2 linked regions of the Neurospora crassa OR74A genome follow. The protein of the gene in region 1 interacts with the protein of each later gene in a biochemical or structural test. Links are inferred from orthologs where the notes say so. Each region holds a gene or a part of one and is shown on either strand. Other genes may lie near its edges.

Region 1 (4,441 bases):
CCCCCGCCCTCGGCTCTGTGCCTCAACTCACGCCCGCTCTCTTTTGTGGTGGATCAACCGTCGCCTGAATCGCCGTCGCTTGATAGGAAAGGTGTTTCAATCGAAGTAGCTGATGAGACAGCACCGGAACCGGAGTCCCTTTTCTCGTCTTGGGGATTGCCGGACGCAACCAAGCAACGTTGTGACAGCGGCGAGGACTGGGAGAATCTCTCTCCCACACAACCTGTCACACATGGTAGCCCTGAAAAGAGGTCAGGCTATGCTCCTCCATCATCAGTGGCTTTCCAAGACATGCTCAGATCCACTCCGTCCGTCGGCGATTACCCAGGTAGCCCATCGAAGCGCGCCGATAGAAGATTTAGTCTGCAGTCTCAGCTGTCAGAAAGGTCAAGCGAACCTGATCGCAGTTTCCTTGATCTGAGTGACCTCGGTGACGATCTCGGCGACCTTCCCCAGATATCTTCAACTTCACTTTCGAAGCAGGGCTCGAGACCCGCGCCCCATTTTAGGTCTTTGTCGGTTGCCAACGGCGGCTTGGGTTCGCGACGGAATAAGACACAGCTGGCGGAAGGTCCCCCACCTGCTCCCCCGCCGAATCGTGCCCTTCCTCCAATCCCGAGAAAATCGTCACTTCAAGTCTGTCACTCAGCATATTCACCTTGAGCTGTGATTTGCATTTACTCGTATCTGGCGCCATACCATCATTCAACGCATCGCCATTTCTGGACGTCTAGGAAGCACGACCACTGAAGTTTCCGAGTATCTGTCAGCGACAATACTTGCAGAGCAAAGGGCGCCTGGGGATTCAACTGATAGAGATAAACCGCCATCGAACCGCTGATTGACTCCGTCACCATTTCCTTTGTCTCTCTTTTTTCAAGGTCGGGTTCAGTCGAAAAACAAGATACCGGTTAGATGGATGGAATAAGGATGCAGGAAGCAAGATACTGGATACCCAGGTGATGAGGGTACATTTATACCACCGGCGACATCCGGAACGTAACGTGTGAACGATCTCCTTTGTCAGGTCGATTTGGTGCGGGATTTGTCTTTTTTTGCCATATACCTTGTATTATGTAATGTTGGGGTACCTACTGTGTATGTAGGTGATTAATTGAGGAGGTGAGTGTGGTGGGCATGAAGGGCGGGGTGGTTTTCGATTCTCAATCGGAGGAGGGGGGTCACAGAGTCAGAAGAAAGCTGGTGCCCGGCAGGCTCCGTGGCCAACTTAGATAGCAGTGAGTTTAGAGCATCAGATATGGATGCTTGGAGAAATCTGAATCGAGTTCAAACTCTCAAACTTTAACCTCGGTGCCAGCCATCAACTTGCAAACAAAGGTACCTACTATGTACAACACGTCCTGGTGTCGAGAGAGTTGAGCTAGCTCCATGTTGCGGCGCCGCGCCCTGCCCCTGGTAGGCCTGGAGGAGCAACGTTCGGGTTAGGGTTGTGATGCCTGTGATGCCCCCACTAATGGATGCGAAGTGGAAGCAACCCAAAGCGGATAATGAAAGAAGGGGCAAAACACCTCAACGTATACGTCTGGATGCGACCAGTCCTGCTTTGTCAAAGAACGAAGCTTCGTTTGTAGGGAGCCGTATTGGCTGTCATGTGCGAATCTGCTGCCTTGATATTGTACGTAGGATAGAGCACCGTTAGCTGCCAAACAGGGCTGATTTCCTGAGTGAAAGCCGAGTCAGCAAGACAATTTTTGCCCCACACTCAAATATCCAAAAATTCCCACCTCCAAAAAATGGGGGGGAAAACTGCCCTGGCTTTTCAAACTTGAGCCCCACCAAAAATCGCCGCCAAACCAGCGCAACGTCAACCCATCGCGACGACAACCCACGGCCATTTCAGTCATCCACCGCACCCATCACCAGACGAGCCGAACCTGCGGAATCAAAACAACCACATACTGTCAAGATGGCTGCCGTTCAACAGAAGTCAGTACTCCTCCGCTTGCCTCGACAGCAAACGCCCGTCTGCATCCACGCCCCCGATTCCCCCGATTGCCATTTTTCCGGCGTGCTTCACAACCCAACACGTATGCATTTGATTTCTCGGAGAGTAAGAGTCTAACATAGTTCGCGACCATTCAGGCACGACTGGGCCGACGATGACGAGCTCGAGGAGACCTCCACCGAACTCCCGCCCCCTCAGAAGATCACCAACAAGGATGGCAGCACGACCATCATCGAGTACCGCCTGAACGACAACGGCCAGAAGGTCAAGACCACACGACGCATCCGCTACATCACCCACCGTGAGGTCGTCAACCCCCGCGTCGCTGAGCGCAAGTCGTGGACCAAGTTCGGCCTTAGCGTCAAGGACGGCGCCGGCCCGGCCCCCGACACCACCTCGGTCGGCGAGAACATCATCTTCAAGCCTTCCTTCAACTGGCGCCAGGAAGCCAAGGATGAGAGCAAGGACCCCAACGCCCAGGCCATGAAGGACAAGTTGAAGGACAAGAAGGTCAAGTGCCGTATTTGCAACGGCGAGCATTTCACCGCCCGCTGTCCCTACAAGGACACCATGGCCCCCATCGGCGAGGCCGGCGCTGCCGCCGACGTCGCCGCCAGTGCTGCTGACGAGGCTGCTGCCGCTTCCCAGGGTGCGGCGGGCGCGGGCAAGAAGGGCTCGTACGTGCCACCTGCGCTGCGTGGTGCCGGTGGGGCCGCGGCTGCTGGAGAGAGGATGGGCGGCAAGTACGGCGAGCGCGACGATCTCGCCACTCTCAGAGTTACCAACGTACGTTTGCCCCTAGTGTCCCCCAAAAGGACGCGGAGGAGGAGGAGGAGGAGGAGGTGGTGGTGGTGGTGGAGAAGAAGAAGAAGCAGAAGGAAAAGGGAAAGAGGGAGTAGGCGACAGACTTGCAAAAGCTGCTCTGTTCTGCTCCTAAAGAGGGGTTATTATGACGGGACTGATTCGTGCTAACATGTTTTCTACGCTTAGGTCTCCGAGATGGCCGAGGAACAAGAGCTTCGCGATATGTTCGAGCGGTTCGGTCGCGTCACTCGTGTCTTCCTTGCCAAGGATCGCGATACGGGTCTTGCCAAGGGCTTCGCCTTCATCAGTTTCGCTGATCGCAGCGACGCTGTCAAGGCTTGCGCCAAGATGGACGGTTTCGGTTTCAGACATTTGATCCTTAGGGTTGAGTTCGCGAAGAAGGCTGCGTAAACTTAATGGGTCTTCTAGACGGACGAGGAGGCGGAGGAGAGGGAGGAAGGGGTTAGAGGAATGATGGAAGAAGCAGCGATGTTTTGGTCCCTAATGCGGTCTGCACAAGGAAGTGCGTCATCAAAATGGGAAAGGACTCTTTGATACTACTATTACTTGATCTGGTTCCTGTCTCTTCTTGCTGTGGGGGTTCATACTAATGGGGAACAAGCGGCAAAATTTGTCATGATCGAGAGATTTCTTCCGCCTTTTAAGCATATCGGGCCAGGGTGGCCAGGTGGTTATAGTTGACTTTTGTTACATGGATGACGGGCTAACTCCAGGTTGAACAAGATCGGTGTAATAGACTGGCAACATGCCCGGACTACAGGAGCCCAAAACGCACCGAAGCTCTTCAGAATACAGTGTGGTCTTCTTGTCGATTCAGGGCGCATGCCAGTGTTTAAAACAGCTGACAGCCTCTCTGAACTCTTGAATTATTATCAGTGCATTTATCTATCCCGCTGAACGTCCCTGGCATCAAACATTATATTACTTGGTGACAGAATCTGTTATGATGTCCTATCATCAACTCAACCGACCAATCGCAAAGACCGTAAGTTCCTGAGCTCTCTCAAAGCAGCCGGCACGTCCCTTCATCCTCTTCATCTTCCTGTCTCATTCATCTCATCACCGTAAAAGTCGTTCATCCCTCCGCCCTGCCCTCATAAATCATGAAGTCTTGGAAGATGTCGACAAAGAAAAATGGCTGGTTGCCTATAAGAGAAATAAGAAACAAATATCACTCGAGAATGAAATGAAAAAAAAAAAAAAGGGGGGGGGGGGGGGACATTCGGCGCAAAGAAACCTCAGCAACAACACCATGAACACACAAGAACAATAGCCTCCCGCCCATCATAACCCCTACACCTTCTCATCCCTAGACCTTCTTGCCTTTCCCCTCCTCCTCCTCCTTCGGTCATGATCACTCTCTCCATCAGTATCATTCCCTTCCTGCCTTTCCTTCTCCTCCTCATCGTCATTCTCGCTTCCATTCACCTCTTTCAGGCATGTTCCACCCTCCTCTTCCTCCCTTTCCCTAACCCCCCATACCTTTCTCCTCCCTCCGCCTTTTTTCCTCTTCCCAATCCCCCGTCTTTCCTCCGACTCCTCTCATCATGTATACGGCACTCTTCTAACCCACCCCTAGCTCAGCTCCACCGCCAACCTTAAGTGGCTCCGCGCCTGCTTGAAATGAGCGGCTGCTTTCGACTCTGTTGG
Region 2 (4,274 bases), on another chromosome or scaffold:
TCGATCTTGGAGGCCATTGCTGCTTCAGGCTCCCTTGTTGCGGCTCTGGGAGAAGCTAAACTGGAATATGTCCTGATGGAGCTGCGCGGATGGCCAAAAGCAGCAGCGTATCGAGAGACAGGACCCTGAATGTGAGAGAAGCGGGAGGAGGAAGATGGTGCAAAGGGTAAAGTGTCAGGCAGAGGCAGAGTTGAAGATGAGGGGGAGAGCAGCGCATTAGCTCCAAAATCGCTAGCAGCTGCTGCCCCGGCGCATGACGGTGACACCAGAATCGACCCCGTAAGCCCCGTCACTGGAGATAGGCGCCAATAACGGGATTTCTTAGGGCGGCTGCAGGTGGATCGCGGGGCGGCGGAGAAGTCAGTGGTACCAGCTGCAGAGGCGACGAAAGCCGAGGTAGAGCTCCGAGAGTCGGATTCCGTGCCCCACGACAATGTCCATCTTTTGAGCACGTCTTGTCCCGTATGCTCGACTTGAATGCGCCGCCGTGTGTTCAGCGACCCGTGTGCGGACAGGGATGTGAGACAGCTTCCGGCTCGACGCGACTTCCTTGACGTGGAAGACACCCTCTGGATGAAGCTGGAGATGGCCATGCCTACACGACGCAGACTGGTACTGTAGAGCTAGAAGAAGGGTGCAGTGGTCTTTCTGCGTGCGTGCTGTAACAACATCACACTGAACAGCAGCGGACGCAGGCTCGGGGTAAGGGATATTCAGAAGCTCAAGACTTCCGCCCGGCCAAGCTCTCTCGACGCCCCCGGGCACCTCCACGACGGGGTGGGACCAGACGGATTCGGGACCCAGGGGTTTTCTGCGCCGCACAGAAGAGTCACAATGGGTTCCCGCCTAGGTAGACGACGGGGGATCGATGTCGAGGATCCAATGATCGCCGGTTTGCTGGCGGGAATAGAGGTTTCGTGATTTGTGATTTTTTTTTCTTTTTTTTTTCTTTCTTTCCCTTCTCGAGGAGTCACCGAAGGTGAGCGTCTCAAGACGTGCCGCAAATGACCAGTGTAAATGTGACAACAAAACGTGAAGCCAATGAGATAACCTAAATAGAATAGAGCCCAAACCCAAGCTTCTCAAAATAGTACGTATTCACCATGCATTCTTGCAAGAATCCTACCATGTCTCGTTAGAAAAGCCTCTATTTCCGTCTACAAATCTCCGAGAGTTGAAGAACTTTTCCTCCTCGATGCGACCCCCGGAAGAGGGCATTCATATAACTGCAATTGAAGTGGGTGTCTAGATGCTGCATCCATGACTCTACAAGTTCTCGGCTTGCTGCAGGTAGCAGCTCGGATCATGATGTGCTCGCACTGTCCTGTCTGTGTCGTTGTTCTAGATTGAAGTTGGTGTGGCTTGCGGCCGCGGCACAGGCTTGACGAATACAGCTGACTCTTAAACTCTGAGTCACAGACTGAGCCACAACTTCTTATCGGTGGCTGTCGACGGGCCGGCAGGCTGCGAGCGGCGGATCGAGGTGGCAGGCTGCATCGCAAGGTCCAGAGTCCGGTCCGAACTGAAACCAGCAGCTTCAATGGATGGCACACGGCTGGCTGGGACGAGGGACTGGAGAGGGGCAGCTTGGCATCTGCAGGGATAGGTGTTGGTTCGCCCCGCGGCCGTCAGAATCCGCCAGAGCCAGCCAGCCTATCGCGCACAATCTGCGGAAAAATTACTGGGAGTGGAAATCCACCCAAAGAAAGAACACCAAAGACCGATCCGACGACGACGACCGCATCTACAAAGACACTAATCCACCCACCTACCTCCCAAGTCGTGCAACCCCCCCCCGCGATATTTCTCGACGACGAATCCACTCAGTGTCTTCTAACGACCATAACACTTCCATACCGCCGTCCACGCCTCGTCATATTTAATAACCCACAATCAAGATGAGGCCCATTCTTCTTTCGGGCCACGAACGTGCCCTCACCCAGATCAAGTTCGTCTTCCCTCCGCATCATCATCGCATACCTTACCCGCCGACCCGACCCCTCTTGGTGTTCTGGCTTTGGCATGTCGGGCATATAGAGATGCAGCCTCTAACAGCAACCCTTTACCCCCAACAGGTACAACCGCGACGGTGATTTGCTCTTCTCAGTTTCCAAGGACCAGCAGATTTGCGTTTGGTTCGCGCACAACGGCGAGCGTCTCGGTACATACCACGGCCACCAGGGCGCCATCTGGACCATTGATGTCGACCCCACATCCACCATCCTCGCCTCTGGTTCTGCCGACAACACCATCCGCCTTTGGGAGATCAAGACCGGCAGACTTCTTAAGACATGGGACTTCCCTACCGCCGTCAAGCGCGTTGAGTTCAGTGAGGATGGCAGCAAGCTTCTGGGTGTGACGGAGAAGCGCATGGGTCATCTGGGTACCATCGTTGTCCTCGACATCAAGCTCGATGTTGACGCCGAGCAGAGCGATGAGAAGGCCATGACTATCGTTTGCGAGGACAGCAAGGCCACTGTTGCTGGCTGGAGTTATCTCAGCAAGTACATCATTGCCGGCCACGAAGACGGCTCCGTCTCCCAGTTCGACGGCAAGAACGGCGACCTCCTCTACAACATCCCCATCCACGAGCTCAACCAGCCCATCACCGATCTCCAGTGGTCGCACGACCGTACATACTTCATTACCGCCTCCAAGGACAAGACCTCCAAGGTATGTCACATGGCTCCACAACCCCCCCCCCCCCCCTTTTTTTTTTCTTTCTTTGGTCTTCTTCCCGGATCCTTAAAACCGAAATCAATGAACAGTCAATCGCATGCTAACACTCCTTGATTATTTTCACAGCTCATCACAGCTAAGGACCTGGAGGTCCTCAAGACCTACCCCGCCGACACCCCTCTTAACAGCGCTACCATCACTCGCAAGAAGGACTTCGTCATTCTCGGTGGTGGTCAGGCTGCCATGGATGTCACCACCACCTCCGCGCGTCAGGGTAAATTCGAGGCGCGTTTCTACCACAAGATCTTCGAGAGCGAAATTGGTCGTGTGCGCGGTCACTTCGGTCCCCTCAACACGGTTGCCGCCGACCCGACCGGCAAGAGCTACGCCAGCGGTGGTGAGGACGGTTACGTCCGTATCCATCACTTCGACAAGGGTTACTTTGACTTTATGTACGAGGTCGAGAGGGAGAGGCAAAACAAGCTCAACCAGCAACAACAGCAGACCATTTCTGCCTAAACGGATCCCTTCTATCGACATCGATCGAAACTTTCGGACTTTCAGCAAGCAGGATCCGAGGAGGGGCGGCAGAAAGGGGCGGAAAGGCGATTCGCGGGACGAAATATGGGTGTCGTGTTATTGAGTTCAGGATTCTCTCGACTTGTCGGAGGAAGGAAATGAGCAAACGGGTTATTTTACATCGCGCGTCCAGGGATCCAACAATTTGGGGGAAATGGGCATTTCACAAACGGCGTTTTTTTCAGGCAACCTAATCTGAGAATTTGGGCGATTCCACCCAATATTTGGTGAAAAAAAAAGTGAAAAGGAGCAAAAATTGGAGCGATGAGGTGGTGCGGTTCGATGTGAAGCAAACGAACGAACAAGTGAGTCGCGCGGAGAGCGGATATGTAATTTCCATCTTGTCACGAAAGGAACCTTTGGTCCCTATCGAAGCACAGAAGAGTCATTTGTCATAGTTGAATTCGGTCGTTCTTCTGCTTACTATCTTGCGCAACCTCGTTCATGTGATATCAGATTGGACGTTATAAGTAGAGGTCTTTCGCCAATTGCTTACTCACTCCCTTATGGTCAATAAGAATCCAACACAAGTGGAAACAATAATACAGGGGTAAAGGAAGTACAAGACTGCGCACATCATGCCCTATTCATCCATCAGAGAACGGATTTGACCAAAAGGATATCTTTTGTTCCTCAGGTAGGCAGAGAAATCCCTCGCTAAATGACGGCAGGTGAGATAACCATCACCGAGACCGCAACATGAATACGACACAACGGAAACGCCGCGAGCCAACTGCATTAACCCTCCCTGGACTCTTCTCAGTGGTGAACCGAGCCCCTTCACCCAATCTAACCCAGTCATATGAAACGCAACTACAGCTTCGAATACCAAGCCAAGTCAATACATGTGCCGTAGCTTGTATTTTTGGTCTGGACCACCATCAGGCGGTCTACTTCTTCTTTCCCTTGGGGGCAGCCTTGCCCTTTGTCGCCTTCGATTCCGTCGACGCCACGCTTGACGCGCGCGAAGGGGCAGCCGAGGTGGCTTTGCTACCGGACGCTGACTTGACGTTGTC

The links.
Region 2: the proteins of NCU08046 (region 1) and NCU03876 form a complex in vitro, tested with the Saccharomyces cerevisiae proteins (4 studies listed by BioGRID, with this or other methods). The link is inferred for Neurospora crassa OR74A from reciprocal best matches to the Saccharomyces cerevisiae genes TIF35 and TIF34.

The regions. Positions count from the first base shown.
Region 1 is NC_026504.1:4,018,168-4,022,608, reverse strand, and holds NCU08046 (eukaryotic translation initiation factor 3), read left to right. Parts: upstream 1-1,540; 5' UTR 1,541-1,610; coding exon 1,611-1,636; intron 1,637-1,692; coding exon 1,693-1,947; intron 1,948-2,103; coding exon 2,104-2,752; intron 2,753-2,956; coding exon 2,957-3,181; 3' UTR 3,182-3,695; downstream 3,696-4,441. Other genes in the region: NCU08047 (hypothetical protein), read left to right, coding at 1-663. UniProt on the Saccharomyces cerevisiae protein: RNA-binding component of the eukaryotic translation initiation factor 3 (eIF-3) complex, which is involved in protein synthesis of a specialized repertoire of mRNAs and, together with other initiation factors, stimulates binding of mRNA and methionyl-tRNAi to the 40S ribosome.
Region 2 is NC_026506.1:1,994,943-1,999,216, reverse strand, and holds NCU03876 (eukaryotic translation initiation factor 3 subunit 2), read left to right. Parts: upstream 1-1,636; 5' UTR 1,637-1,898; coding exon 1,899-1,948; intron 1,949-2,075; coding exon 2,076-2,673; intron 2,674-2,805; coding exon 2,806-3,198; 3' UTR 3,199-3,681; downstream 3,682-4,274. Other genes in the region: NCU03877 (C-1-tetrahydrofolate synthase), read right to left, coding at 1-593; crf4-1 (chromatin remodelling complex ATPase chain ISW1), read right to left, coding at 4,149-4,274. UniProt on the Saccharomyces cerevisiae protein: Component of the eukaryotic translation initiation factor 3 (eIF-3) complex, which is involved in protein synthesis of a specialized repertoire of mRNAs and, together with other initiation factors, stimulates binding of mRNA and methionyl-tRNAi to the 40S ribosome.